3 linked regions of the Stegostoma tigrinum genome follow. The protein of the gene in region 1 interacts with the protein of each later gene in a pairwise test. Links are inferred from orthologs where the notes say so. Each region holds a gene or a part of one and is shown on either strand. Other genes may lie near its edges. The genes, in order: gps2, sestd1 and ralbp1.

The links.
Region 2: the proteins of gps2 (region 1) and sestd1 interact in binary tests that used the Homo sapiens proteins (3 or more experiments, as listed by UniProt). The two-hybrid records come from large-scale screens. The link is inferred for Stegostoma tigrinum from reciprocal best matches to the Homo sapiens genes GPS2 and SESTD1.
Region 3: the proteins of gps2 (region 1) and ralbp1 interact in binary tests that used the Homo sapiens proteins (3 or more experiments, as listed by UniProt). The two-hybrid records come from large-scale screens. The link is inferred for Stegostoma tigrinum from reciprocal best matches to the Homo sapiens genes GPS2 and RALBP1.

What each region holds. Positions count from the first base shown.
Region 1 is NC_081398.1:13,794,881-13,805,501, forward strand, and holds the start of gps2 (G protein pathway suppressor 2), read right to left. Parts: upstream 4,758-10,621; 5' UTR 4,625-4,757; exon of another isoform or gene 4,608-4,624; intron 3,881-4,607; 5' UTR 3,847-3,880; coding exon 3,753-3,846; intron 1-3,752. Other genes in the region: neurl4 (neuralized-like protein 4), read left to right, coding at 5,009-5,173. UniProt on the Homo sapiens protein: Key regulator of inflammation, lipid metabolism and mitochondrion homeostasis that acts by inhibiting the activity of the ubiquitin-conjugating enzyme UBE2N/Ubc13, thereby inhibiting 'Lys-63'-linked ubiquitination.
Region 2 is NC_081360.1:43,777,718-43,788,091, forward strand, and holds the start of sestd1 (SEC14 domain and spectrin repeat-containing protein 1), read left to right. Parts: upstream 1-6,332; 5' UTR 6,333-6,419; intron 6,420-6,446; exon of another isoform or gene 6,447-6,567; intron 6,568-6,594; exon of another isoform or gene 6,595-6,680; intron 6,681-7,167; 5' UTR 7,168-7,186; exon of another isoform or gene 7,187-7,311; intron 7,312-10,374. UniProt on the Homo sapiens protein: May act as the primary docking protein directing membrane turnover and assembly of the transient receptor potential channels TRPC4 and TRPC5.
Region 3 is NC_081358.1:114,692,848-114,702,808, forward strand, and holds the start of ralbp1 (ralA-binding protein 1), read left to right. Parts: upstream 1-5,941; 5' UTR 5,942-6,057; intron 6,058-9,961. UniProt on the Homo sapiens protein: Multifunctional protein that functions as a downstream effector of RALA and RALB. As a GTPase-activating protein/GAP can inactivate CDC42 and RAC1 by stimulating their GTPase activity.

The sequences.
Region 1 (10,621 bases):
CATTCAGTGCAATGTGGTCAAACGTGAGTCGTTTACTTTGGCAGGCGTAGGGACTACGTATTTTATTGGAAATATAAACCAGCAAACCAAATTTTATCTTTATAACTGGAAACAAAAGTTGGACTGTGCGCTGTTCACTCCTGGGCCACACAAGCATTTATGACATTTGAGACAAATTGGATTTGATACTTCTGAGACACATGCTGGCACCAAGATCCTTAGTTAGGAAAAACATAAACTGGCAAGCAACAGCTTTTGGACTGGTTGTAAGCAGAAGTTCATCACAGAACTGAGAGGAGAGAGCGCAGTTGGGCTGCCATGACTCCAAAAACCCTCAGCAAACCAGACTGTGCTCGCCCACCCTCGCTCTGAATAGAAACAAACTAACACTGAAGAGGCTTTGTCAAGAGAGAGCTTAAGCAAGGCCAAAGCCCAAATGACTAGTTACTGACATGAGGTTTGCCAAAGTCAACAACAATACAGCACCAAAAATCAAAGAATAATGAAAAAGTCACGACACTTATTTCAGCATTTGGACTCTTGATCCACAGACATTGTTTGATTTTGCCTATTATCCCCCAACAATATTCCCGAAAAACTGTTTGCATTGTCCTTGCCGTTTATCAATGTGTGTGTTTGGATTTCAAGGGCTTCAGCTTAAATTTGCACATTAGTAATTAATAATCTGTTTTTGTCACACATGAGAGAATAAGCTTAGTATAATAAATACGTTTTTGGTTTCTCATTCATTGCTAAAACCTGGTGTGAGCTACTTTTCTCTTAGACAGTGATCACAATCAGATATTAACCATCCTAGAGATTAAATTGGTAATCCTAAAACTTGTGGAATACAGGCACTTAATTTCCAGTGATCTCTTTCCATCAAGGTTGACACACTGAAAGAATCAAAAGGCAGAGTATTCATAGAATCCCTACAGTGTGGAAGTAGACCATTCAGCCCATCGGGTCCACACCAACCCTCCAAGAGCACCCAGACCCTCGTTCCTATCCCTACAGACCTGCATTTCCCATGGCTAATCCACTCAGCACATCCGTGGACACTGTGGGAAATTTAGCATTGTCAATACACTAAACCTGCACATCTTTGGACTGTGGGAGGAAACCGGAACACCCAGAGGAAACGCGTACTGAAAAGGGTAGAATGCACAAACTCAGTACAGACAGTCACCCAAGGGTGGAAGCAAACCCAGGTCCCTGCTGCTGTGAAGACAGCAGTACTAGTCAACGAGCCACCATGCCGTGCTGCTCAACAGAAAATAACTTTAGAACTCTGGATAGGTAGCTATATCTTGGTATTTTAGTCCAGAAGTCACAAGACTTTAGTATCTAGGTACAACATGTAACCGATAAAGCTAATGGAATGCTATGCTTTATTACCAGGGAAATTCAATATAAAAGTTTGAATGTTATGCTTCTGTTAAACAGGGCATAGGTGAGACCACATCTCAAATACTACATTCAGTTTTGGTCTCCTTATTTAAGGAAGGATTAAATGCATTGGAGACTGTTCAGTGGAGATTTACTCTTGAGAGCTGGACCAAGTTGTTTTACGAGGATTGGTTAGATGGGCCAGTCTTGCTTCCACTGGAGTTTAGCAGAGTGAGGAGTGACTTGATTGAAAGATATAAGATACTAAATGGTTTTGACAAAGAGAACATGGAAAAGATGTCTCCTCTTGTGATTAGGGGCCACTGTTTTAGGACTGTTTTACACTTAAAGAAAAGTAAGTTCATATTTGACAGTCAACATGACTTTGCCAATAGCAGGTCATGTCTGACAAATTTAATTGAGTTCCTTAACAAGGTGATCCAGGCAGCAGATGAAGGCAGTGCTGTGGATGTTGTATATTTGGACATTAGAAAGTATTCGATATGGTGCCACATGCCAGGATGGTTAGCAAATTAGAAATGTTTGGTATTGATGGAATCTTGCAGCATGGATTAGAATTTAGCTAAAAGGTAGGAGCAAGAGGGTAAAGTGGGCATATTGCAGATTGGAGACAAGTTGAAAGTGATGTATCTCAGGCATCAGTGTTGGGACCCTTGCCTTTTCTGATTTAAAAGAACAATTTGGAGATAGGTGTTGAGGGAAAAATCTCTAAATTTGCACATGATACTAACTGAGGTAGAATAGTGAATTAGAGGATGACATTGAGCGGCTTCGCAGAGATATTGGCAAGTTTTCCAAATATGCAATACCTGAATTTCAATGCAGAGTAATGCAAGATAGTGCACTTTGACAGAGGAGACAGGGTGAGACAGTATGGGCTCAAAGGTACAACTTTGAAGGGAATACAGGAGCAGCGGGACCTCGGGGTTCACATGTATAATTCTCTGAAGATGGCCAGACAAGTTGGAGCAGTTGTTACTAAGGCTTATAGGAGTCTTGACTTTATAAAAAGAAGTATAGCATAGAAAAGGAAGGAACTGATGCTACACCTCTACAAATCATTGATCAGACCAAATTAAGAGGACTGTGCTTAGTCCTGGCACTTTATTTAAGGAAGGACATTAAAGGTCTGGAAAGAGTGCAAAGGAGATTTGCTAGAATGATACCAGGAATTAGGAATTTTAGATACAAGATAAGATTAGAGAAATCTGGCTTATGCTACATGGAGCAGAGAAGATTAAGATATGACCTTATTGAAGTGTTAAAATTTATGAATAATTTTGACAGAATAAAGAAGCATATTCTGTTTCCACTGGTTGGTATGTCAGTAACAACAATTTCAAAATTGTCAGCAAGGTGGCTTGGAGTGAGATGAGGAGAAAATCTTTATTCAGTGTTGTTAGGATTTAGAATGAGCTGCCTGGAAGAGTGGTGGAGGTGGAGATGGAGAGCTCTGGAGAATGAAACTAGCTGGGTAGATCTCTCAGGGATGGATAGACCAACTAGTGGGGGACATAGGTGGAGCTAGAGAGTTATGAAGCTTGGCAAAGCAGGTGGAGCAACACGCAGAATGGGAGTGGATAGGAGGAACAGACAGAACAATGGCAAGGTCAACAGGCAGAGGGAGGGCACCGGCAAGGCAGAGGGGGAGGGCACCAGAAAAGAGTGAGAGTTATCCAGTTTATGCCTTAACTGACTTATGGGTAGCATAGGATTGAAGATTCCCTGGATTGATTAATAGGCTGTGGGCAAGGTCCTGCGAGGAATGATTGAGTGAGTTGCACCCACATTCTTTGCAGATGATCTCAACCTGATCCCTTGGATACTGAAATTATTCTACGTGTATAATTTGAACAGACAGATCCAATATATTTGAGTTTAGAAGAATGAGCAGAGATCTAATTAAAATGGATAAAATTCTTCGAGAAGGAAGAATGCTCCCCAGCCAGGGGAGAAACACAAAAACATGGAGAAAGAGTCTTTGAATAATTAGTCGTCATCTCCCAGATTGGCATAAAGGTCGATATGAGCCAAATGGCTTCCCCTGTGTTCCTTTGTCCAACGGTCTCGAGCACTTTTGTCCCAGAGGCCTGCAAAATTCTTGTGCACTCCCCTTCTGGAAAGCCCAGTTGGATCTGCTTAAGCTGCCCTTTCAGGCATCTACCAGATCATAACAATAACAACACAGCATTCTGATATAACAACAGCACATATCCCAGGGAGCCAGTGACAGCATGACACATGCAGATTTTTCTGTTGAGCATTTTGCCAGATTGTCCCGCCCTGATCTACCTGCCAGACATTGTGTGAGCACACTCACACTTCCTTCCCAGCACTTCTACCTTGTCGTTTCCGTGCTCTCTCCTTCATGATGTGCTGGTGAAGAGCTCGCGCCATCGCGCTCGACATCTTGGGTCGTTCCAGTAGGGCGGGCATCGTCTCTGTTTCAGAAGGATCCAGACACTAGAACCTAAAACAGGTGAGAAAAAGCCATAAATCAGCTTTGTGTGAGGTACAGAATCGCAAGAGTAAATCTGGAAAACCTACAGTCACCACACTGTTTCCCAAGACCACCCGGTGTAGCACAGCTAACTAGAACTCCTAAAAGTTCCCCTCTGAAACACTTGACTTGGACCTACAGTGCTGTTTCCTCACAGCAACTGGGTCACACTTCCCACTTTCCCTTAACAGCACTGTCCCTATACTTCAGGGACTGCAGCAGTTTAAGGTGGCGTCTCACCACCACGGCAAATAGGGATGACCAGTAAATGCTGGCTCGGCTAGTGAAGCCCACACTTTACACAGAACGTACCACAAACAAATAACTCCGGATCAACCAGTCAATACCATTCTGTTTCGCTTGAAACCCAGAATGAGCCACAGCCAGAGCCATACTGGATTAGACCCCAGGAGGACAAGAGGCCAGGCTTCCCACAGATTGCATTCTCTTTCAAAACACGCTGGCTACACATAGGGTGCTGTGCTCTCCCCAAATCTCCCTGTTCTTCCCGGATTCTCAAGAACTGTGCCCCATTCCCTCCACTCTCATCGGTATGTCCTCCCTTCTCCATTTCCCTCTCACTGTTCTACCCAACCACTTCCACAAACACCCCTCCCACCTACCCTTCTCCTCTCTCCACGGGTCTTTTCCTTGATCTCCCCCACATCCCGCAGCTCCAGGTCCCCATCACCCTCACCCTGTTCTTCCCCTCACCATTCCCTGTTTCCAGGCCCCGGGCCGCTTTCCTCCTTTTCTCTCTCTCTTCTCTCTCTTTTCACTCCACCAACGCCATCACACTCCGCCCGCCCACCGTCAGATCCGCCCCGCAGCCGTAAAGCGAGACGGACGCTGAGAAGCGGGCGACGGCCTTGGCGCGCGACGGGATCGTAAAGCGGAGCCGCCGGTTTCCAGCGCGGAGGGGCGGTCAAATCAAACGGCGCTGCCGTCGTAAAGCGGATTTCGATACAGCTGCCCCGCAGCCGTCAAGCGGGTTAGTCTCCCCGGCCCTGTTACTCCTTTAGGACCCGGTTGAGAAGGCTGTCGTGGAGCAGGAGCGGGCTGAGGAGGGGGCGGTAAGCCCCTCTCTCCGCTCTCGGAATGGCGGCCGAGTTCCACCTGAGGACCGGCAAGTTGGTGGCGTTGCTGAACGGCAACCGCACGGCCAAGCGTAACAAGCCGACCGAGGAGTTCAACCACGGGCTGGCGATGAGCCGAGAGCCGCTGGGGGACGGGCAGCTCTTCCAGGTCCGGATCGACAGGAAGGTGAGTCCAGGGGGAGATGTAGATGTTTGTAACTCCACCCCCACCCTCACCCCCACCCCCACCCTCACCCTCACCCCCACCCTCACCCCCACCCCCACCCCCACCCCCACCCCCACCCTCACCCTCACCCCCACCCCCACCCTCACCCCCACCCCCACCCTCACCCCCACCCCCACCCCCACCCCCACCCCCACCCTCACCCTCACCCTCACCCCCACCCTCACCCTCACCCCCACCCTCATACCCAGGGGTAAGCTCAGTAAGAAACACCGGTGATTGAGGCCTACACCAGAAGGTGCACGGGAAGGGGAATCTCAGCAGGTAAAAAGGGGGAACACACCCCCCCCCCCAGCTTTAACATCGCTATAGCAGGTTTTGTGATTTTATTTTCTTAAATCATATTTAATCATAATTGCGACACCCCCCCCAAAAAAAAACATCGTGGATATCGCTAGAGGATTAAATGTAATGAGTGGAACTTGGTCCAGCAGAAAAAAGCTGGAGCTTGTCCCAATTTGCAGCAGAGAGGACCCTAAGCACCCCCTCTTCCCCCCCCCCCCCCCGGGCTGGTATTTGTCTGTCGGCTCGACGTGGCTTGTCAAGTAGCCCCCTGCCGTCCCCAGTTTTAAAAATTCAAAATCCCTCTCTGGTCATTTTGTAAAGGTTCCTCCCCAGCATGCCCTTGGACACCATCTCGAGGGTTCCCCCCCAGCCCCCAAGTGAAGGCAGCCCAATGTGATGGACAGTGCCAACTCCTGGCAAGGGCCAGGTGCAGAGGCGCCAGGGAATGGAACATTGGTAGAAGGTCCCGGAAGGGCGCAAAAGACTGGGCAGTGCTAGTGTAGAGAAGGAAACCAAGGTGATGCTTTGGTTCACTGGCCTGGTGCCACAGCTTTGTCAGTGGGACTGCACCATCTGGTTTCGAGGGCCCTTGTGTGCTCCATGTGATGGTTTGCACCAGATGTCAGCCATCAAATACTCTCAGAACAGGTACAGCACAGGGTTAGTTACAGGGTACTTGACTGTGTCTCCACTAAGCCCTCCCAAGACAAGGGTGACGTATGATTAGATACAAAGTGTTGCCTCTATGTTCTTCCAATCCAACACTCCCAGGGGAGGAACAGCACATGATTTCTCTAGTCTTTCAGACTGAAAATAAATAGAAAGTAAAGCTTGCTCAACATTGACCCTAACAAACATGTCTAGGATGGGGGCATCACAGGGTTACATAATGAGTGAGGCTGTCTGTACACTGTCCACATCAAACATTCCCAGCACAGGGCTAGATACAGAATATACTTCTACACTTTTAAACTGAAAGTAAAGCCCCCTCAACAACGTCTGCTTAAAACACCACAAGAAGAGATAAAGCAGGCGTTTTGGTGCAGAGTAAAGATCACAGTGGTTCAGTGGTTAGCACTGCTGTCTTCACAGTGCCAGGGACCTGGGTTCACTTTCACCTTCAGGCAACCTTGTGTATAGAATTTGCACATTCTCCCCATGTCTGCTTGAGTTTCCTCCCACAAAAATGAGCAGATTACGTGGATTGGCCATGCTAAATTGGACATAATGTCCAGAGACGTGCAGGCTAGGTGGATTAGACATGGGAAATGCAGGGTTAAGGCAGGAGGGTGGGTCTAGATGGGATGGTCTTCAGAGGGCCGCTGTTGGTGTGACAGGCCAAATGGCCTGCTTCCATGCTGTAGGGATTCTATGGTAAACTGAAATCAGAGCATCCTCTACGGTTTTAAAACTGAAACTAACACTTCCTCTACACTTAAAACTGAAAGGCACCTCCATCTGTGTCAAACGCTCCCGGGGCAGGAACAACAGAGGGTTAAGTACAGAGTAAAGCCATCTCCACTCTTTGAACTAAAAGTAAACTTTAAGTAATGGTCCACTGATGCCATCCCCATCAAACACTCTGGAACTGTGGCAGCACAGGGTTAAATGCAGAATAAACTCCTTCATTTTCAGTTATGAGTGGTGTACCACAAGGATCTGTTCTGGGTCCCCTTCTGTTTTTGACTTTTGTAAATGAACTGGGTGTAGGAGTGGAAGAGTGAATTAGTAAGTTTGCAGACGACATGAAGGTGGGTCAAATTGTAGATAGAACAGCCCTCCGCACTATGTTACAAAGGCACATTGATAGGATGCAGAGCTGAGCTGAGAAGTGGCAGATGGAGTTTAGCCCTGAAAAGTGTGAAATGGTTTATTTTGGAAGGACAAACTTGAAAATGGAACACAGGGTTAACGGAAAGATTCTTGGCAGCGTGGAGGAGCAGAGGGATCGTGGGGTTCATGTCCACGGTTCCATGAAAGCTGCCACCCAAGTGGATAGAGTTGTTAAGAAGGCATATGGTGTGTTAGCTTTCATTAATAGGGATTGAGTTCAAGAGCAGTGAAGTTATGCTCCAGTTATACAAAAACCTGGTTTGGCCACGTCTAGAATATTGTGTCCATTTCTGGTCACCTCATTACAGGAAAGATGTGGAAGCGTTGGAAAAGGTGCAGAGGAGATTTGCCAGGATGTTGCCTGGAATGGAGGGAAGGTCTTATGAGGAAAGGTTGAGAGAGCTAGGGCCTTTCTGTTTTTAGAACAACGAAGGATGAGAGGTGACTTGATAGAGGTGTACAAAATGATGAGAGGTATAGATAGTGTGGACAGCCTGAAACATTTTCCTCGGGTGGAGGTAGCTATTATGAGGGGAGCATAGTTATAAAGTGAATGGCGGTAGATATAGGGGAGACATCCGAGGTAGGTTCTTTACTCAGACAGTGGTTGGGCCATAGAATGCATTGCCGGAGAGGGTAGTGGAGTCAGCCTCAGCCTCATTAGGAGCATTTAAGCGGCAATTAGATAGACACATGGATGATAGTATAAGGTAGCAGTGGGAGTTAGATAGACCTTAGGTTTAGGGTAAAAGTTCAGCACAGCATGGGGAGCAGAAGGGCCTGTACAATGCTGTACTGTTCTATGTTCTATTTCTTTTATGAAAACTGGAAGTCCAAAATAATAATAATGAAACGCTTACTGCTGTGCATCGTATTGCAATTGAACATAAACTAACAGTCAAATGGAAACTTACAGAACCAAACAGAAATTACCCATGTCAAAATAATGTTGTAGACCCATAGAGCCATAAAGCATGGAAACAGATCCTTTCGTTCGACTTATGGGACCCCAATCTGGAGGGCTTACTCATTTGCCAGCATTTGGCCCACCTCCCTCTCAGCTCTTCCCATTCATATACCCATCAGATGCCTTTTAAATGTTGTAATTGTTCCAGTCTCCTCCACTTCCTCTGGCCGCACATTCCATACACACAGTACACTCTGTGTGAAAAAGTTGCCCCTTGGGTACCTTGTAAATCTTTCCTGTCTTGCCTTAAACCCTATCCCCTCTAATTTTGAACTCCCCTCCCGTTCGAAAAAGTTTGACTATTCACCGAATTCATGCCCCTCATGATTTGATAAACCCCTGTAAGATTGCACCTCAGCTGCCCTCACTCCAGTGAAAAATGCCCCAGCTCCCTCAACCTGTCCCTATGACTCAAGCCTCCCAGTCCCAGCAATGTCCTTGTAAATCTTTTCTGAACCTTTTCAAGTCTAACAACATCCTTCCAGTAGAAGTGCATCTAGAATTGTGTGCAAAATTCTAGAAGTGGCCTTACCAATGTCTGGTACAGCCACAACATGACATCCGAACCCCTATAGTCAATGCACTGACCAATGAAGGCAAGCATGCTAAATGCTGCCTTCACCACCCTGTCAGCCTGTGATTCAATGCTGCCCAGGCTTTGTGGTGCCCAATGGTCTCCAAAGAACTTTGCTGTATCTGTGAGCACTGCTCTGTCTTCAGCAACTCCCCAGCTCAAACATAATTGTGAAAGCGTGGCACCCCATCAGGAATGGGGGAAATCTTGGCCAGACCCAGCAGAAGGCCCACCAACTTGTCAGCCTGCACTAGGTGTCCGTAGATCAGGACCATGGGACTGAAGTGCAAGCAAAATTGAAGAAGCAACCCCTTCAAAAACCAAAAAGGAGTTGCAAACGGAAACATTCTACACCGATGTCAAGCACAAAAATTACGCGTCACCTGGCATCCAGTGGACTCACATCCTATGGTGTACCGGCCTGCCACATGCAGCACTCTCCACCCCGGATCCCCAGAGGAAAGGGGAAGGACCTCTTTGTAAATGGCCCTCCGCTGGGGATCTCTGCAGCTGGAGGGCAAAATAGTCTCGAAGCAACAGATGAAGGTGCAGAAGTGGAGAGTGCAACAGCAGCCAGTACAGGAAATACCTCTGTGCAGTGATTTCTGAAAGACAGCTCAGATTGTGAGGCACCACGTCATGGGGAAGGGTGGCTTGTGCAGGACTGATGTCGGGTTCCGAACGTACAGGAGTCAATTCAGCCGGGAGCCCGCTGCGCACACGCCTGAGCTGTCTGGGTCTTGCATAGGGCATCGGGGCTGAGCACGTTGTGCCTCAGGCTACGTATGGGTCAGGCTGTGAACCCTCTCGGCCAGCTGCAGCAGTGTCACTCAGCCCACTCCTCCTCCATCTAACACAGCCTTGACCCTGGTCAGCCCAGCATCCCAAGCCCTCCCCTACTTCAGCCAGCAGAGTTCACGCTGATGGAGGAACTCATTCCTGAGCAGTGGCTCCCTCACAATAGCTGCCACTCTTATAGGAGTGGCAATCCAACATGAGCTGACCATGTTCCAGATACAAGTCCAAGTAAAAGACAGGCAATTCTTGGGAGTAGATTCAAGAGCGAGACTATTCTGTGAACAGGAACTGCATGTCAGTATAGAGGCTGTGCACCTGACAGAAAAATGACATCATCAGGGCGCAACAACTTGGAGGGCCAATGTAAAGGTGTCACTGCAGAGTCTGAAGGCAAAAAGTCATTACCCAGGTGTGGAGGCACACCAGTGCCAGACCCCCATCTGAACTGCAGCAGGGACCTAGTGTTGCTTTTTGTCCCAGAAAAATGCTATGACCCTTTTGTGAATGGTTTGACAAAGCCAGGGGTTGGGACCAAAGTGAGCAGCCAGTACCATAATGTGGCAGCTCCCATCTGGTTTATGACCAGACCTCGTGCCCTGTAAAATGACTCTTCAAGTAGCCCTGTCTCGTGTCTTTGGTGAGTAATCACCTTGGCTATTTGTGCTAACTCACTGGCCAGGATTCCTCGGCAGGGCAAACGTGGCATTCCGGGTAGAGGAGGTGAGTGATACTCCACAAGAACCGCTGAAGCTGCTCCGGCAGGAAGTCCAACTGCCACAGATTCACCAGAAGTCCTGAACACTTACTCCACTTGATCCTCATGGAGGACGCCACAGAGTAGACCATCTGGCACTTGTGCCTCTTCCGTAAGTCAGCCGCTTCCACAAACGTGAGGAGCATGTCGTTGGCTTAAACTGAAAGGACCACCCCAGCT
Region 2 (10,374 bases), on another chromosome or scaffold:
GTGGACTTGATGGGCCAAATGGTCTTACTTCCACTCCTATGTCTTATGGTCTTATATGCCAAAATTTTGGAAGCACACTTCCTTGTGAGAGGAAGGAAATGAAGGAAATTCATATTAGTGGGGGAAATGATGGGATTTAAAGTCCGATAAATCCCCTAGGGTCTGATAATATACATTTCAGAGTACTTAAGGAAATGTCCCTAGAAATAAAGGATGCATTTGTGGTTATCTTTCAAGATGTTATAGACTTTGAAAGAGTTCTTATGGATTAGAATGTAGCTAGAGCAATCCCACTATTTAGAAAAAAAGAAGCTAGAGAGAAAATATGCAATTATAGACCAATTAATGTGACATTAATTGTGGGGCGAGAGTCCGTTATAAAATATTTAATAGCAAGCACTTGGAAAATAATGACATGATCATGTTAATGTTAACTGTAAATGTTAATTAACTTCTTGCATCTGTCTTTACCAAGATAGTACCCAGACCATGGAGATAGAAGAGGAAAATCCATCACAGTATGGGTTTAAGATTGATGCTGTATTGGATGAGTTGTTGATACTTATTTACAAGACAATTGTACCAGTTTAGATCCATCAAAGGGCATTGAAGGAAGTGGAAGTGTAAATTGCAGAGTCACATACAATCTTTCAATCATCCCTGTACGTAGGATTGGCAGTAGAGGACTGGAGAACTTGTAAATGTTATATTCTTATTCAATCAAGAATGTAAGGATAAAATCATCAATTACTGGCCAATTTGTTTAACTTTAGTTGTGAGGAAAAATCTAGAAACAATAATCCACGATGGAGTTATAGTCACAAGGGAAAGTTGGATTAATTAAGAGGAGCCACAATGGATTGTTTATTGAAGATGTAACCAAGATGATAGATGAGGGTAGAATGGTAGACGTTGTCTACGTGGACTTTAGCAAGGCCTTTAACAAGGTTCTGCATGGCAGCCTGGTTAGTAAAGTTAGATCACATTGGATGCAGGGAGAGCTAGCCAATTGAATAGACTGTAGGAGGCAGAGGATGGTGGTGGTGGGGTGTTTTTTGGAGGCCTGTAACCAGTGGTGTTCTGCAGTCATTGGTGCTAGGTCCACTGTTTGTCCTTCACATAAACGATTTGGATGAGAATATAGCAAGCATGTTTAGTAAGTTTGCAGATGACACCAAAATTGGTGGTATAATGGACAGTGAAGATGATTTTCCAAGAGTACAGTGGGATCTTGATCAGTTGGCTAATGAGCCGAGGAGTGGCAGGTGGAGTTTAATTGAGATAAATGTGAGGTGTTGCATTTTGGTAAGACAAAACAGGGCAGGGTGAACACATTTAATGGTGGCTCTGGTTAGTATTTTGAACAGAAAGACCCAGGGTTCAGGTGCATAGTTCTTTGAAAGTGATATTACAGGTAAACAAGGTTTACCTTGCTTTAAAAGACATCGGGACAGGTGCATGACCAGGCCAAGCTCAAAGGGATATGGGCCAAACATAGGCAAATGGGACTAGTTTAGTTTGGGAAAACTGGTTGGCATGGACAAGTTGGACTGAAGGGTCTGTTTTTGAGGTCCATGACTCTATTTCTTTCGTGAAAATTACATTTAACTAACTTTATGGAATTGTTTAAGGACGTAAGAGCATGTATTAATGCAGGTAATGTTGTTGATGCAGTTGTACATGGTCTTCCAAATAATGTTCAAACTGTTGTGCAACATTGTTCTGAGAAAGATTATAGCTCATGGAAAAGAAATAACAGTTTCAATGTGGATGCAAAATTCCTTGTGTGACAGGAAATAGAAAGTAGTAGCTGATGAATATTTTTCAGGTTGGATGATGTTTTGGGCTGGATGATGTTTTGGGTCTCTTGCTTTATTATGATCAACACCAAGGCTATTTCCTAACTCTTCCGAATTTCCCTTTCTCTAGGTGAAATTATTTCTTACATCCAATTTCAACTGAGCCTTCTGTGAATTAAACGAAAAAAATTGCAAGCCATGAATGCTTTCCAAATGCAAACAAAAAATTAATTCTGTATCTTCTAACTTAAAGCTGGCTAATGCTTATCATGTTTGTTCTGTGTGCTCATAAAGCTCCCTGTGTCAACAAGTTCCTATTAGCACTGCAGGAACCATCTCTCAAGTTGGTTTTAAAAAGTGTTCCAGAAATACTGACCAGTTAATCATTATCCCCCCTCAAATGCACAGACATCAGCCCACATTCCATTAGGTTAAACTCCAAACTCTAAGATAAATGACATCAAAATAGATAAAAATCACAAACTTTGTATCACACTTATTTATATGAATAATCAAGATCTTGGAGCACAGGAGACAATTTCAAAGTTTGCAGGTGATACGCAAATTAAAGTTGGAAGGTTTGCAACCTGTGAGGAGGATCATGAACATAACATGAACATACAAGTAATGAGCAGGAATAGGCCATTCAGTCCCTCAACTCTCCACTACAATTTCTAGGTCCTGGTTCTAAATACCACCATAAAAGGAAACATCTTCTTCACATCCAACCCATCAAATCCCCTCAAGATCTTATATGTTTCACTCAAGTTGCTTCTTGCTTTTCTAAACACCAGTGAATATAAGCCTAGTCAGTTTAACATGTCCTCATAATGCAGCCTGTCCCATTCAAGGCATTATCCAGAAAACCTATTATCCGCTTCCAAAAAATTTACATCCTTCATTAATAAGGTGACCAATACTGGGAACTGTACTTCAAAACTTTAAAACAACATTGAAATATTCATAATAATACAGTGTGGAGCTGGAGGAACACAGCAGGCCAGGCAGCAAGAGAGGAGCAGAAAAGCTGATGTTTCAGGTCGGGACCCCACTTCAGAAATAGGGGAGATGAAGGAGCTCTGAAATAAATAGAGAGGAGGGGCATTGATAGCAGGTAGGTAGTTGGGGGGATTGGTCAGTGAGGTAGGAAGAGTGGATAGGTGGGAGAGAAGATGTACAGGTCAATGAGGCAGGGATGGGGGCATGGCTGGTCTTGGGATGAGGTCAGGGTTGGGGAGATTTTGAAGCGAGTAAAGTTCACATTGAGACCATTGGGTTGTAGGCTTCCTGTTTGCGGGTGGCATCATGGTGACACTGGAGGAGGCCCAGGATGGACATGTCGTCAAGGGAGTGGTAGGGGTAGTTGAAGTGGTTTGCGACTGGGAGGTGTTGTTGTTTGTCACGAATCAAGAGTAGGTGGTCTAGAAAACGGTATCCGAACCTCCACTTGGTCTCACCAATGTAGAGGAGGCCACATCAGGAACAGCGGATATAATAGACCACATTAGAAGATGTGCAGATGAACATCTCTTTTACGTGGAAGGTTTTCTTGGGGCCTGGGACGGAGTTGAGGGGCACGTGTAGGGGCAGGTGTAGCACCTCCTGTGGTTGCAGGGAAAATGTGTCTGGGGTGTTGGGCCTAATGGGAGGTGTGGAGTGGACGAGGAAGTCGTGGAGAAGGCGGTCCCTCCAGAAGGAAGATAAGGGTGGGGAGGGAAATATATCCTCAGTAATGGGATCAGATTGCAGGTGGCCGATATGGTGGAAAATGATGACTGTTGAATCCAGAAGTTGATGGGATGATATGTGAGGACAAGGGGAATTCTGTCTTTGTTGTTATTGTGGGGGCGGGGGTGTGAGGGCTGGGGTGCGGGAAACGCAAGAGATGTGGTCGAGGGCATTTCCAACCACTATGGGGGGGGGATGTTGAGGTCCTTGAAATACGAGGACATCTGGGATGTTCGGAAGTGGAATGGCTCATCTTGGGAGCAGATTCGGCAGAGGTGAAGGAATTAGGAATAGGAGATGGCATTCTTGCAGGAAGGTCGGTGAGATGAGGTGTAGCCTAGGTAGTTGTGGGAATCAGTGTCCTTGAAACAGATATCAGTTTCGAGGTCAATTGTATCTGCTGTTCCTGATGTGGCCTTGTCTACATCAGTGAGACCAAGCAGAGGCTCAGATATCGTTTTATAGAGCACCTACACTTGGCTCATGACAAATGACAACACCTCCCAGTCGTGAACCCCTTCAACTCCCCCTCCCACACCCTGGACGACATGTCCATCCTGGGCCTCCTCCAGTGTCACAACAATGACACCCGTAAACTGGAAGCCTACAACACAATGGTCTCAATGTGGCGTTACTAGCTTCAAAATCTCCCCAGCCCCCTCATCCCCACCCCCTTGAACTGTCTGTCTTCTCTCCACCTATCCACTCCTCCCACCTCACTGACCAATCCCCACCACTATCACCCTGCTATCACCAATCCTCCTCTCTATTTATTTCAGAGCCTGCTTCGCCTCCCCTATTTCTGAATAAGTGTCCCTACCACAAACATCAGCTTTCCTGCTCCTCTGATGCTGTGCGCTCTGTTGTGTTCCTGCAGCTCCACACTCTGTTAACATCTGCAGTTCTTACTGTCTTTCATTGAAATATTCATAGAGTGGGCAGATAGGTTGCAGATGAAGTTTGATGTGAAGATGTACGAGGTGAGATATTTTGGGAGAACAAACACAGATACTGTATAAACTAAAAGGGACTACCCTAGATGGTGGGCAGAGAGACTCCAGTGTATGAGTGCATAAGAATTAAAGGTGGCAGAGCAGGTGGTCAGAATAGCTAATAAAGCACACAGTATCTTTGGCTTTACTAACAGTGGTTTCCTGTACAACAGCACATGGGTTACACTAAATCTGTGTATGATACCAGTTAGATGTCTGCTGAAGTATTGTTCCAGTTCTGGAAGCCACATTTTAGGAAGATCTGGAAGCATTGGTGACAGATCTCAAGTGGTTTGCAAGAAGTGGTTCCAGGGAGAGAAACTTCAATTATGAAAATAGAAGTTGGGACTGTTTTTCTTGGAGAGGAGAAGGCAGAAAAGAGATTTGTTTCAAGTTTTCAAAATCACGATAAGTTTGGACAGAGTAGAAGCAGATAAGCTATACCCAGTGGTGAAAGAATAAAGAATGAGAAAGCGCAAATGTTAGGAAATTCGATGTGAAAAGTTTCTTCTCAAACAGCAACTGTCCGTGTGGGGTTTGCACGTTCTCCCAGTGTCTGCGTGGTATTCCTCCCACAATCCGAAAATGAACAGATTAGGTGGGTTAGCTGTGGTTAATGCCGGGTTACGGGGATGGGGTGGAGGGAAGGTGGGTCTTGGATGGGACACTCTTGGGAGGTTCGTTGTGCACTCGTTGGCCGAATGGCCTGCTTCCGTACGGTAGGGATTCTTTGTGCTACCTAAGTGTACCCGGAAGACAGGTTCCATTGAGGCATTGAGGAGGTCATGAGATGAATATTTAAATAAAATGATGTGAAAGGGTACAGTCAAAGGACAGGATAATGGCATTTAGTCATGCTCCTCATTTGGAGAGCTATTGCAGACACTATGGGAAGACTTCTGCACGGTTATTCTGCAATTCTTGAAACATCCGAGGGAAACAACTTGCAGGATTGTGGGGATAGAGCAGGAGAATGGGACTGACTATTGTTTTTCAGAGGCGACATTGACCACCGTGTTTCTAATGGGCTCTTCCTTTGTTTTAATGACTCAATGACTTGGACAAAATATTGCAGGGCAGCTTGGAAATTATACTTCAGTATATTTAGAGTAGAAAAAGGTGAAACATTTCTCCTTTATTGATATTAAACAGTTTTCTACGAAATATTCCTAAAAAATCAAACATTTTCAACAGTGAATTGACAAACTGTAATAAAATTTCGTCTATATTGCTATTTTTTCTAGAATAAAACACTTTGAGAGAGATCTTATATCATGTTCACTGAGCATTTACACTATGATCGATGATATGCACCGCAAAAATGATGAATGGTTAGTTGATCCCTTGGTCAGTAACGCGGTTTAAAAGCTGATTTCTAAAAGCTCTCTAAAATTTATCGGGCAATATCAGCTCTAGTACCTTGGGCTGACAACCATATTTTAAAGGAGAAGAAAGAATTTTGATAAAATATCGCAAAGCCGTGAAAACTGAATGTATTTGATATACTTCTGCTCAATCTCAGATTTAAATCTCCATGTTGTTGTGACATTTCGATGAGGTTAATTTCCAGTTGTTCATTGATCTCATTAGAAGGTGCTGCACTGCTTTTTTTGGCGGGGGGGAGGGTTGGAAGGAGTGCTGGTGGTGTGGGGATGTTGAGCTTTGTAGTGCAAGTGGGATCTCCGTTTGTGCGTGCACGATTTATTTCGTAGCAGACGTGAATATGTGAGACGCGCTGGTGGGAGCTGTGAGGCATCTCTGCTTGACATGCCTCGTACGGCGAGGGTGCCGCTACCGTTCTGTGTGAGCCGCCGCTGCTGCTGAGATCGGTCTCTCCTTGGGAAGAGGAAGTCGGCGGCTGGGAGGGAAGGAAGGAGCAGTGGGCAGCTCGCGTCCTCAGGTGAGCGGGGGCTCGTGCTGCCTCACCTGTGCGCGTGGCTGAGGCTGAGTGGGGGTGCAGGGCGGGCTGTCTCCCTGGGCAACAAAAGGAGTTATGTCTGCCCCGGGCAGCTGAATCTGTGTGAACGGTTCATCCTGGACGACCATCGGTACTGGAGCTGGAAACCTCGTCTTTCTTTCTTTCTGTGTGTGTGAGAGAGACCAAAAATCACGATTGCGGCGGCTTACTGGGCTGAAGGCTTTGAGCGGACTGGGGGGAAAGGTAGGCCCGAGGTGGGGTGGACCGAGCTTTGTTCAGTGGCAGCGCCCACTACCAGGTCGCTGTTCCTTCCCAATCTGATTTATTTTATTAGAAATAACTTATCGGGTTTTTTTTTGGTTTGTTATTTTCTTTGTTTTTTATCTTTAAAAAATAACTTGCAATCTGCGTTTCCCACTGCACTTTTTTTTTGGTTCCAAAGCGCTGCCCCGTAGAGTGTGTACCGTTCGTTGCACTCCAGCCATTTTCAAAAAAAAGACGGGCTGAGTACTTCCTGTGGGTTGGGAAAGAAGCGCAAATAATTAACGGTATATGCTACTCTTGAAGCACTCCTGCTGCAGCCCTCCGCTTAAAGATGAAAGCAGCGGTAGAAAGTAGATCATTTCGCAAGATGGGCTGATGTGGTTTGAAAGCTTTTTGTTGTCAGCTGGATGCCTGATGTGTAAACCCTCCACGACGCTTGAAGGACTAATCCGAGTAATCTACATAGGTGATCTCCATCGTGGAACGTGAGTGTTGTGGTTCTGCCAAAAAAGGGGCTTCCTAGGATGAAACAGGTCACCGTTGTCAAAATTCAAAGATATGCAGTTTGCAAATACTTACTAGGATGGTGATGAGATTCAACCCACTGAAGGTACACTGGTTATCATCATGGAATGTAATGTTTTGCACTGCTTAGTCAGCTACATGTTGGAGTAGTAGTTTACAGGGTTGTTTGGAACTGTGAGAACACAATCCTGTGCTGATCCCACTCCTGCCCCACTCAAGCCTTATTCTTTCATTGTTCCAGTCAATTACCTGATTTATCTGCTTAGTTACAAATGGTACACGAGATGCTTTAGTCACACAGACTTGGGCGTTGTCTTAGTTCATTCGGTCAGATTACTGGTCTGAGTCAGAAAGCTACAGGTTCAGGATTTACTCTATGGAATTTTGCAAATAATTTAATCTTGCATTTAAATATAGTGGAAAGGTATGTTAATAGGGGATCTTCAGGCTGTTGCATTAATTGAGGCATTTGCCAGTTTTATACAGAAGGTGGTGATGGAGGGTTGTTTTTCCATCTGGAGGCCTGTGACAGCAGTGTTCCCCATTACTGGGTCTAGTTTTGTTTGTCATTTATATAAACGGTCTGAATTCAAATTTAGGGAGCATGATTAGTAAGTTGTGATGACACCAAAACTGGTATAGTTGACAGTAAAGAAGATTATCAAAGACTACAAAGGGATCTTGATTGACCCAATGAGCTGAGCAGTGGCAGATGGAGATTAATTTGGATGAATGCAAGGTATGGCATTTTGATTAAATAAACAAGGGCAGGACTTCTGCAATTAATGGTAGGGCCCTAGGTCATATTCTAGAACAGAGACCTAGGGGTTCAGGTATATAGTTCTTTGAAAGCTGCATCAGGGGTAAATACAGTTAAGGTACAGTAGTTAAGGTACTCTGCAAGGTTACCTTCATTGCTTAGATCATAGGAGTTGCGATGTCATGTTGATGTTATAAAGGACTTTGAGGCCAGTTTTGGAGTAGTGTTTACAGGTCTGATTGTCCTGCTTATAGAAAGAATGTTATTAAATTGAACATAGTTCAGAAAAATTTACCAGGTTGTTTTCAGGATTGGAGAGTTTGAGTTACAAGAAGAGGCCGGATAGGCTAGGACTTTTTTCACTAGCATGTCATAGGTTAAGCAGTGACTTTGTAGATGTTTATAAAATCATGATAAGGTGAATAGCAAAGGCCTTTTCCCTAAGGTGGGGCATTCAAAACTAGGAAGCAAATTTTAAGGTGAGAGCAGTATGATTTAAAACGGACCTGAGGGGCAACTTTTTCCACATGGAGAGTGGTTTGTTGGTGGAATGAACTACCAGAGGAAGTGTTACAGTTCCTGTATTTAAAAGACATTTAGATAGATACATCACTAGGAAGGGTTTACAGGGATATGAGTCAAATGCAGGCAAGTGGGACTAGTTTACGTTCGGGAATCATGGTCAGCGTGGGCTTGTTAGACCAAAGGGTCTGTTGCCATGCTGTTTGACTCTATGATGTACTAGAGCGTTTGATACAATTTGAGGAGCAGGGACTTGTTGGCAATATTTCTTCTGTAAAGGCTAAAAGTCTATGTGGTTAGCCCATGTGAGATGTAGCTCAGTGATTAATTTTCTCATTTCTGAATCCAATTTAAGTGAGTTCAAATTCCACTTAAGATGCATGTAACCTAGGCTGACATTTCTGTGCAGTATAGGGGAAATGTTGATCTGCCAGTTAAGAAATTTAAAGGACTTAGATGGTCCAACAATTGAGATATAGGATCTCATTACTTATTTCATTGCAGCATTGTGGGAGCCTGCATGTGTAAATTAGCTGCTGTTTACCACGTTGAAATAGCAACTGTTTAATTTGGTATAAAATACTTTTGGACATTGAGGTTGAGGGTGTAATGTAAACATCAGTCATTTCCCTATTCTCTCTTGTTCCTGGGTAATCTTTGTTTTGGGACAGTCTCTCCTGAAATTCAGTTATTCTTTCAAATTGAAAATTTTGTTTTTTTTCAAGTTTCATTTTCTTTTGAGCTTAGCAGCAACAAACAAGTCGTAATAAAGTCTGAGTATAATGCAATTAACTGACACATAGGTCACAGGAATAATGTTTTGAAACAAAAACAAGCTTTATCGCTTATAAGAATTAAATCAAGTGCTAGTAGCATAATGCTGTAGTTTATGATAGCGCTATGAATTTTACTTTTATTTTACTATACCTGCTAAACAATTCCTTTCCTATTACAAGAATCTTGAAGGTTGAACCACATTTTGAGGGGCCAGCTTAAAGGTGTGACAGTGGACTCTGGAATTCACTACATATTCATTTAGGCTCACTGCTGATTGCTTTATGCCACATGGCTCTTTGAGAACCATTGTAGAAGTTTTCCTCAAGCTGCAAGCTAGTTAGATCATCCATCGTTTCCTTCAAAAATACAAACAGTTTAAGTTCTACCCACATTCTACTTGTTGAGCAATAAAGATCATACTTATCCTGCATAAAGCCTGATGTAGGTTACACCGAAGCAAAACGTCAACAGCCAATCTTTCGAGTAAACACCCAGATTAAATTAAGCAAAAGACTGTTTGACCCAATAGCCTAAGCCTATTTCTATGTGGCATTCATTGGGTAGTCATTAAATTGACATGTAAAAATTACCTTCAACACAGTTCATTTGATTCTGTTAAAAAGTGCAGAGAGGTTTTAGAATCTCCACACCTATCCAGGAGCTCCCCTGTTGATCATCTTTCCCAACTTTTCATTTTGGTAACTGCTTAATTTAAAACTTTTGAGGTAAGTGGAGACCTTCAGGTCTACCTGAAACCCAGTGTTTGGTGTTAGTATTAGAAATGCGGATCCATTTGAGGGTCAACCAGAACAACTTGAGTTGATTGAGAGTAGATGATGCACATTGAACTTCATAGCTCCATGTGCATCCCCCTGAAGCTCAGAATTCTATCAGAGGATGGCCCCTAGAGGACCACCAACAGTCTAGGATATATGACATAGCTGCACTGTCCTGCTCGACTGGATTTAAGACAATTTGATAAACAAGGATGATGTTGGGATGACCATCTCCAAGATTTAAGATGCATCCAAGTCGGGCATTGCTTGTGACAATCTCCTGTAATTTTTGGAAAAATAAAAAGCAGGGTTC
Region 3 (9,961 bases), on another chromosome or scaffold:
TAATCTCTACTCCCCCTTTTTTTTGGATGGCCATGCTGATGATGATTTCCTTTGTCCCATTCATACCTCCTGAGAACACATATTTTAATCTGTTTTCTCCTCCCATTACCATGCTCCTTTGCTTTGCATCTTCACTCTACTTTTCATTCCAGTTCTGAGGAAGGGTCACCCGACCCAAAACGTTAACTCTTTTTCTTCCACAGATGCTGCCACACCTGCTGAGCTTTTCTTGCAACTTTGTTTTTGTTCCTAATGATTGTGTTTTTCTCAGACTACCTTTGCTTCTTTCTCTAATTACTTTATACTTATACTTTGTTCTCTATCCTTTCATCAGTGAGATTATCTTCTCCCTATTTACTCTGTTCAGACTGCTCATGATTGTGAATAGTTCAGATCAGATTTCCTCTCTGCTTTCTCTTCTCCAAGGAGATCAGTCCCAGATTCTATATTTCTAATTTCATAACTGAAAGCACTGTAAATCTCCAATGCACTCTCTCCAATACCCTCACATCACCCACCTAACGTGTGGCTCCCAGAACTGGAAGCAACATTCCACCTCAGGCCAATCTAATGCCCTGTATAGTTGTTCGACAAAATGTTCTTACTCTTTACTCCATAACATTAACTCTGCTTCACTCTCCTCGAATGTCATCTGACCTGCTGGCTATTTCTGACATTTTCATTATTTATTTCATATTTACAGCATCAAAATTGTTTTAAAATTCCAATCCTGTTCTCCCTTGCCATCTCCAGAAACAATGAAGTTGATTTCTGCAGTGGAAATCCTACATATCAATTGCATTTTCAGTGTGGTGGTCAGAAAGAACTTTCTTCCTGGAAAATGATGATGGACCTTGTCAGAACCTAGCCCCAGCTTTTCAGCAGGGCACACTGTGTGGTGGGATTGTCTTATGAGCAAAGGTTAAACAAGGTTGGGACTCATTGACATTTAGAAGAATGAGAGATTCTCATTGAGAAATGTCGGGTTCTTAAGGATCTAGACTGGGTAAATATTGAAAGGATGTTTCCTCTCATGGGAGTGCCTAGGTCCAGAGGGCATTGACTTAAGAATAACTTGACTTAAGAATGCGGTGCCAATTTAAGACTGAGATGAGGAGGAATTCCTTCTCTCAGAAGGTTGAGAGTCTTTGGAATTCCTTGCTACAGCAAGCTGTGGGGGCAGACTCCTTGTGTATAGTTAAAGCTGAGGCAGATAGATTCTTGATCAGTAGGAGAATCAAGGGTTAAAAGGGAAAGGCATGAAAATGAACGTGAGGAATGTTGGATCAGCCATGATCCTACTGAATGGAGGAGCAAGCTTGAGGGGCTGAGTGTTCTACTTCTTATGGTCTTATAGAGTTTTTACTGTTTCCTTTTGTATGTCATTTGCACTGAGGATAATTGGATCATTCCAGCTGAGATCAGCTGCTGGGTTGTGTGGTAAAAAATTGGTGCTTTTATTGACTAGATCTGGAGATGATAGTTTTTTAAAACAAAGGCTTCTTGTTCTATTTTGACACAAATACTTATTTCAATGGGCGCTCTGATTCTTCTGTGAAATTATCCAGTCCCTCAGTAATTTTTTGACAAAGCATATTTTCCTCATACTACCCTTCCTTGGCATTGGGTATGGTCATTGCAGTGGGAAGTAAGGAGGTGAATATTTTGATCTTTCCTTCCATGATACACTGCAGCAGAATGTGCAGTTTACTGTTTCCACATTGCAGTCCCTTTCCACACTGCTGATTCCTTCCATGAAATTTAAATCGTTTCCTACCCATTTTAAAGATTCCACTGCTGTGGGTGTAAATGTTTTCCCCAGTGACTTGCTAGCTGACGCCCAAGAAGAGATGAAACTCAGTTACAAATCAGGAAACCATTTCTTATCGAATTTCTTTTCATTTTCTTCATTCTCTCGATGACCAAACACTTTGTTCATGACTGTGAAAGGACATGAAATGTGTTGAAATTAGATGCAGTTTCTTCTTTCGCTTTGAAGCATTAAGATGGCCATGATTAGAGTCTTTCCTCTGATTATCTGAAGTGAATTTCATCATGATTTGGACAGATTACAGAGATGTAGCTGCAGGGAATTCTCTTTTTTTGTTTATTTATTTTGTGGGATGTGGGCATCGCTGACTGGCTAGCATTTCTTACCCATCCCTAGGTGCCCCTTAAGAAGGTGGTGGTGAGCTGTCTTCTTGAAACACTGCAGTCCACCTGCTGTTGGTTGATCACAATGCTATTAGGGAGGGAATTCCAGGATTTTGACCCAACAACGGTGAAGCAACGGCGATATATTTCCAAATCAAGGTGCTGAGTGGCTTGGAGGGGAACTTGGCAGTGTTCCAATATGTCTGCTGCCCTTGTCCTTCTAGATGGAAGTGGTCATGTGTTTGGAAAGTGCTGTCAAAGGATCTTTGATAAATGTGTAGTGTTTCTTGCAGATTGTACACACTGCTGCTACTGAGCATTGGTGGAGGAGGGAGTGAATGCTTGTGTTTCACATCCAAGTGGTCTGCTTTGTCCAGGATGCTGTCAAACTTCTTGAGTGTTCTGGAGCTGCACTCATCCAGGAAAGCGTGGAGTATTCCATCACAGTCCTGACTCGTGCCTTGTAGATGGTGGGCAGGCTTTGGGGAGTTAGGAGGTGAGTTACTCACTGCAGTATTCCTAGCCTCTGACCTGCTCTTGTAGCCACTGTATTTATGTGATGAGTCCAGCTGAGTTTCTGGGCAATGGTAATGCCCTGGATGTTGACAGTGGAGGTTTCAGTGATGGCAAAACCATTCAATGCCAAGGGGCGATGGTTAGATTGTCTCTTATTGGTAATTGTCATAGCCTGGCATTTTTGTGGCACAAATATTACTTGCCACTTGTCAGCCCAAACCTGGATCTGGTCCGGATCTTGTTGCATTTGAACATGGACCGCTTCAGTGTCTGAGGAGTTGCGAATGGTGCTGAACATTGTGCAATCATCGGTGAACATCCCCACATTGGACCTTACGCTGTAGGGAAGGCCATTGATGAAGCAGCTGAAGATGGTCTGGCCTAGGACACTACCCTGAGGAACTCCTGCAGAGATGTCCTGGAGCTGAGATGACTGACCCCCAACAACCATGACCATCTTCCTATGTGTAATGTATGACTCTAACTGTCCCCCGGTACTCACTGACTCCAGTTTTGCTAGGGCTCCTCGATGCCACACTCAGTCGAATGAAGCCTTGATGTCAACGGCTGACACTCCTATGTCACCTCTGGAAGTCCGCTCTTTTGCTCATGTTTGAACCAAAGCTGTAATGAGGTCAAAATGCGAGTGGTCCTGGTAGAATCCAAACTGGGCGTCACTGAGCAGGTTATTGCTGAGCAGGTGCTGCTTGATTGCACTGTTGATGACACATTCCATCACTTTACTGATGATTGACAATAGACTGCTGGGGCAGGAATTGACTGGGTTGGATTTGTCCTGCTTTACACGTACAAGACATACCTGGACAATTATTTACATTGCCGGGTAGATGCCAGTGTTGTAACTGTACTGGAACAGCTTGGCTAGGGGTGCAACAAGTTCTGAAGGACAAGTCTTCAGTACCATTGCTGGAATGTTGTAAGGGTCTGTAGTGTCTAGTATCCAGTGCCTCCAACTGTTTCTTGATATCATGTGGAGTGATTCCAATTGACTGAAGACTGGTATCTGTAATGCTGGGGATGACAGGACAAGGCTGAGAAAAATCATCTACTTAGCACATTTGACTAAAGACTACTCTGAAAGCTTCAGCTGTATCTTTGGCACTGATGGGATTGGCTCTTCCATCATTGAAGATGGGGATATTTGGAGAGCCTCCTCCTCTAGTGAGTTGTTTAATTGTCTACCACCATTCACGACTGGATGTAGCAGGACTGCAGAGCTTAGATCTGATCCATTAGTCGTGGGATCGCTTAGCTCTGTCTACCACATATTGTTTATGCTGTTTGGCATGCATGCAGTCCTGTTTGGTGGTTTCACCAGATTGACACATCATGTTCAGGTATGCCTGGTATGCCCTCCAGCACTCTTCATTGAACCAGGGTTGATCACCTTGCTTGATGGTAATGGTTATGTGGGGGATATGCTGGGCCATGAGGTTACAGATTGTTCTGGAGTAAAATTCTGCTGCTGTTGACGGCCCACAGTGCCTCTATTCTTGAGTTGCTAGATCTGTTTGAAGTCTGTCCCATTTAGCAGTGAAAGTTCCACACAACAGAGAGGTTACTCTCAATTTGAAGGCTGGACTTCATCTCCACAAGTGGTTACTCTTACCGATACTGTTATGGAAAAATGTATCTGAAGCTGGCAGATTGGTAAGGATGAGGTCAAGTGCATTTGTCCTTCTTGTTAGTTTTCTCACCACCTGCTGCAGAGCCAGTCTAGCAGCTATGTCCTTTAGGACCCAGCCAGCAGTGTTGCTGCTACTGAGTCAATCTTGGTGGTAGACATTGAAATCCCCCACCCAGAGTATATCTTGTGCCCTTGCCATCCTCTAAGTGTTGTTCAACATGAAGGAGTACCAATTCAATCAGCTGAGGGAGGACAGTAGGTGGTAATCAGTATGAGGTTTCCTTGCCTGTATTTAACTTGAAGCCATGTGACTTCATGGGATCTAGAGTAAAACTCCCTCCCAACTGTATACCACTGCGCTGGGTCTGTCCTGCCAGTAAGACACGACATATCCAGGGATGGTGATATCTGGTACATTATAAGGTATTATTCTGTGAGTATGACTATGTCAAGCTGTTACTTAACTAGTCTGTGAGACAACTCTACCAATTTTGGCACCAATCCCCAGATGTTAGTGAGGAGGACTTTGCAGGGTCGACATGGCTGTTTCTGCTGTTGTCTTTTCTGTAACCTAGGTCGATGCCAGGTGATCCATCTGGTTTCATTTCTTTGAGACTTTGGAGTGATTGGTACAACTGAATGGCTTACCAGGATATTTCAAAGGGTAACTGAAAGCCAACCACATTGCTGTGGGTCTGAAGTCATATGTAGGCCTGATCAGGTGAGGATGGCAGATTTCCTTCCCTGAAAGGAAAGGAAACGTTCACACCTAGTGAACCAGGTGTGCTTTTTTGACAGTTGACAATGATTTTTAATCAGTAGATTCTTAACTCCAGGTTTTTTTAAAAATTGAATTTAAATTCCACTCTCTGTCATGGTTTCAAAGTGGGTCCACAAAACATTATCCGGGTCTCTGGATTTATTATCTAGCAATAATACCACTAAGCCATCACCTTCGCTTGGATAGGAACTGAACGAGGTGCAACACACAAACTGCTTGCCCTTCCTCTCCTTTTCCCTTCCTCTCCCCTCCCTCTGATGAAGGGTCTAGGCCCGAAACATCAGCTTTCCTGCTCCTCTGATGCTGCTTGGCCTGCTGTGTTCATCCAGCTCCACACCTTGTTCTCTCTAAAACTGCTTGCTTGGACGTTTTGATACATCGAAATGATAACTGTGGGAGGCTGAACACCTCTCTCCCACGCGTTCTGAGGAAAGGTCACCGGACCCGAAACGTTAACTCTGATTTTCTCCTCAAGATGCTGTTAGACCTGCTGAGCTTTTCCAGCAAATTCTGGTTTTTTTTCGTCCCAGGATCCAGTCGAGAAAGGTCACGTGACCGAAGGCTGCAAGACGCTTCGATCTCTGCGCCTGCGCAGCGACGCCCGAGCCGGAGTCCGCACACTGACGCCTGCGCACAGTGGCCCAGCCGGAGCCCGCACGATGACGCCTGCGCAGCGACGCCCGAGCCGGAGCTCGCACGCTGGCGCCTGCGCACAGTGGCCCAGCCGGAGCCCGCACACTGACGCCTGCGCAGCGACGCCCGAGCCGGAGCTCGCACGCTGGCGCTTGCGCAGCGACGCCCGAGCCGGAACTCGCACGCTGGCGCCTGCGCAGCGACGCCGAGCCCTGTGGGCCCCTCCTCTCCCGTCCAGCAGCTGCAGGGCCGCGGCCGGTGGCGGCTTGGTATGTCGCCAAGGATCAGAGCTGCGATTCCTGGATCGGGGCTGCTCTAAGATGAGGTAAAGGTGCAGGATTTATCCTTCATGGAGGCCGGTATTTTTTTCAAATATTGAAGTCCAGAGGTGATGTGAACGGAAGGAGCGAAGACCGTAGATTAGGCCTCGCTGGCATCACCGGCCTTGATTTGGAAAGAAGGCCGTGGCCGGGAGGGAGCAGAAGACCTTGTTGATATAGGATGACTTACCCCGCGGCGATCTTACCCGTACTCCCTTCCCCCAACCCTAGGAGAGGGGCATCCCGATCCCATACAGTTCCCCGGAGCGCTAGCGATACTACTCTGTGGTCCGGGGCGCATTTGTTCCCCTCCCTAGCACCGTGTTATTAATTTCCAGATTAAAACCCCTTCCTATAGAGTCCTCCACCTTATAGCACTCACTATGGCTATCAGCTGCAATCTGGATCCTTTTCTTTACATTTGATGTAACCTTTCCTCCTTCTATCTTCCACCCTAGATACTAAACCAGACTGTTTTAAAGTGGACGGGGGAGAGAAGAGTTTAAATGCACGGTTTTTTTTAACAAATAACCGAACAGAATCCTTGCTATTTACTTCATTTGCACACTGCTGCCGGCTGTTTCACTCGTCTATTTACTTCATAAGTAAAAAGCCAGTTACTCGAAACAGTGTTTTGCAGTTGTGTGTGATGCATGGGGCTGATTTGGGATTCTTGTGATCTGTTTTTCACGCTGCAAATGTAGCTGAAAAATATCTCGTCTTTCCACAGCAGTAAAGAATGAATGACTGACTTGGGGAGGAATGCATTGTTGGTAGAAAAAGAGCCTATTTGACAGTTTCACCGAATATGTAGTGAATTTACTGAAATGTCGCTTCTGACTATTACTGCTGCAGTTCGGTATTGTCAAGTTGGAGTTTGGGGTTAGGATCTTGCAGTCTGTTGAGAGAGTGCCTTGAAATTTATCGTGTTTGGGATCTGAGATGGTATTAGTGCAGTTACTGTTTTGTTGTGTCTCATTAATTGCTAAAAATGAAATGAGTGGCTAAAACAATGGCAGAGTGAGCTCAATCCTAACTAGTTTCACTTAAGATGAGCCTCGACCAGTCTCTGAATGATTTTTGAATTATGTTTTGCTAATGTCCTCAGCACTTCAGGATTTGTTACTTTTTCTATTCAACTAATCTTTTCCAATCACCTTGATTTTTAATGATATATGAAATATGCTTTAGACAAAAATTGTTCTTGTGTGTGATGTTATGATGTGTGTATCAGGCACTATTTTGGAATCTGCTGTGCTAAAGCACTTTAATATTATCACAAGCTGCTACCAGTTGGTTCCTCTGAAGAGTTTGATTCACTTGAATGTTAAGTCTGCTTTGTCACATCGATACTGTCAGACCTGCTGAGTTTCAGTTTTTGTACCATAGATTCCTAACCTGACTGATTTCTGAAACAAACAGAAAATGTCAGAGAAACTCAGCAGGTCTGACAGCATTTGTTGAGAGAGAAACAGAGCTACCATTTTGAACTGGTATGCCATCCGTTATGGCTAATTTTTGATCTTGATTGGTAGAGTGAGCTACATCCCTTTACTCTCTGGTCTGCCCTTTCTAAAACCACCACCTCATTTCTATGCTTCCCCACTGTTAGGTCTTCCAAAACCAAGCCAATTTATAAGAGTACACAGTGATACTCAGCCATGTAAACCTCTCTCCATTGTCTGTAAATTGTCATTGCTTATCTAAGATCCAATATTGGATGAGCAGGAATATTTTTCAATTACTTGGCGAGAAGATTTAAGTCCAGGAGACGGATGTACTTGTGGCCCTAACTGTTCACAATATGTATCATTGATCTGGAGATGTGGACCAAATGTGATATTTCTAAATTTTCAGAGGATACAAAGTTACGTGGGAATATATGTTATGAGGAAGATGTAAAACAGCTTCAGGAGGACTTGCACAGTGAATGGTCAAGAACATGGCAAATGAAAGATAATGTGGAAAAATATGAAGTTATCCAGTTTGGTAGGGAAACCAGCTGTGCAGAATTTAAAAGGTAAGTATTTGGAAAGTGTGGATGTAGAAAGGCTCACCAGATTTGTTCCCAGGATTGTGGAACTGTCCTGTGAAGGGAAATTGAGAAACAGCCTGTATTCTCTAATTTCAAAAAGGGAGATTTGAAATTTGAAATTTGTAACATAGCTAAAGGGATAAACAGTGTCAGTGCACTAAGATGTTTCCCTGGCTGGAGAATCCAGAGTCAGATGGCAGAATTTAAAAAAAAAAGGGGATGCCACTTAGATCCAAGATGAAATTTTTTTAAACTCAATGTTGTTGAATTACAGCAGTACATACTGTTGCCATTGTGTGTCAGTGATGAAAGGATTGAGTATTGAAGATGTTGAATCTGGTGCCATTTGAACAGAATGCTGTCTGAGAATCAAGGATTCTAACTCTTGCTTTCAAATCTATCCATAGCTTGGTCTGTCTTCCTATCTAATCCTATCTAATCTTTCTGTCCTAAAACCTAACTGTACTTTGTTTTAATTAAATCACTTGAACATTGGTGGCTGGGCTTCATCTCCCTAGATTTTAAGTTCTGGAATTCCCATTCCAAACTTGTTTGGCTCTCTACCTTATTTTCTTTTTAAACCTGTGTGTTTGACCAAGCCTTTGGCTATTTGCCTTAATAGCTCCCTGCATGGCTTAAGTGTCACAGTTTGTTTTAGAATGTCTATTGGATGCATGTTGAGATGTTTTATTCAGTGAAAGATGCTATGTAAATTCACTTTAACAAAAAGTTCCTGGAATGGGGCATTTTTGGATAGGTCAGCATTTATTGCCTAGGAACTGACTGGCTTGCTGGACCAATTTAGAGGGTAGTTAAGAGTCAATCATATTGCTGTGGGTCTCGAGTCATACGTTGGTTAGATTAGGAACAAAAACAGAAGTTGCTGGAAAAGCTCAGCAGGCCTGGCAGCATCTGTGAAGAAAAAGTCAGAGTTAACATTTGAGTGTTTTCTTCATAAATGCTGCTGAGCTTTTCCAGCAACTGCTGTTTTTGTTCCTGATTTACAGCATCCGCAGTTCTCTTGGATTTATTTTTTGGTTAGCACAGGAGAATTTATTCCCTAAAGAGCATTATTGGATCAGATAGGCTTTTACAACGGTCACCATTGGCTACGTGATTGCAGTTAGGCTAACTTTTTTTAATTCCCAGAGTTTGGCTGAACTCTCATTTCACTATCCTCCATTATATAGAACATAGAACAGTACAGCACAGAACAGGCCCTTCAGCCCACGATGTTGTGCCGACCATTGATCCTCATGTATGCACCCTCAAATTTCTGTGACCATATGCATGTCCAGCAGTCTCTTAAATGACCCCAATGACCTTGCTTCCACAACTGCTGCTGGCAACGCATTCCATGCTCTCACAACTCTCTGTAAAGAACCCGCCTCTGACATCCCCTCTATACTTTCCTCCATCCAGCTTAAAACTATGACCCCTCGTGTTAGCCATTTCTGCCCTGGGAAATAGTCTCTGGCTATCAACTCTATCTATGCCTCTCATTATCTTGTATACCTCAATTAGGTCCCCTCTCCTCCTCCTTTTCTCCAATGAAAAGAGACCGAGCTCAGTCAACCTCTCTTCATAAGATAAGCCCTCCAGTCCAGGCAGCATCCTGGTAAACCTCCTCTGAACCCTCTCCAAAGCATCCACATCTTTCCTATAATAGGGCGACCAGAACTGGACGCAGTATTCCAAGTGCGGTCTAACCAAAGTTTTATAGAGCTGCAACAAGATCTCACGACTCTTAAACTCAATGCCCCTGTTAATGAAAGCCAAAACACCATATGCTTTCTTAACAACCCTGTCCACTTGGGTGGCCATTTTAAGGGATCTATGTATCTGCACACCAAGATCCCTCTGTTCCTCCACAC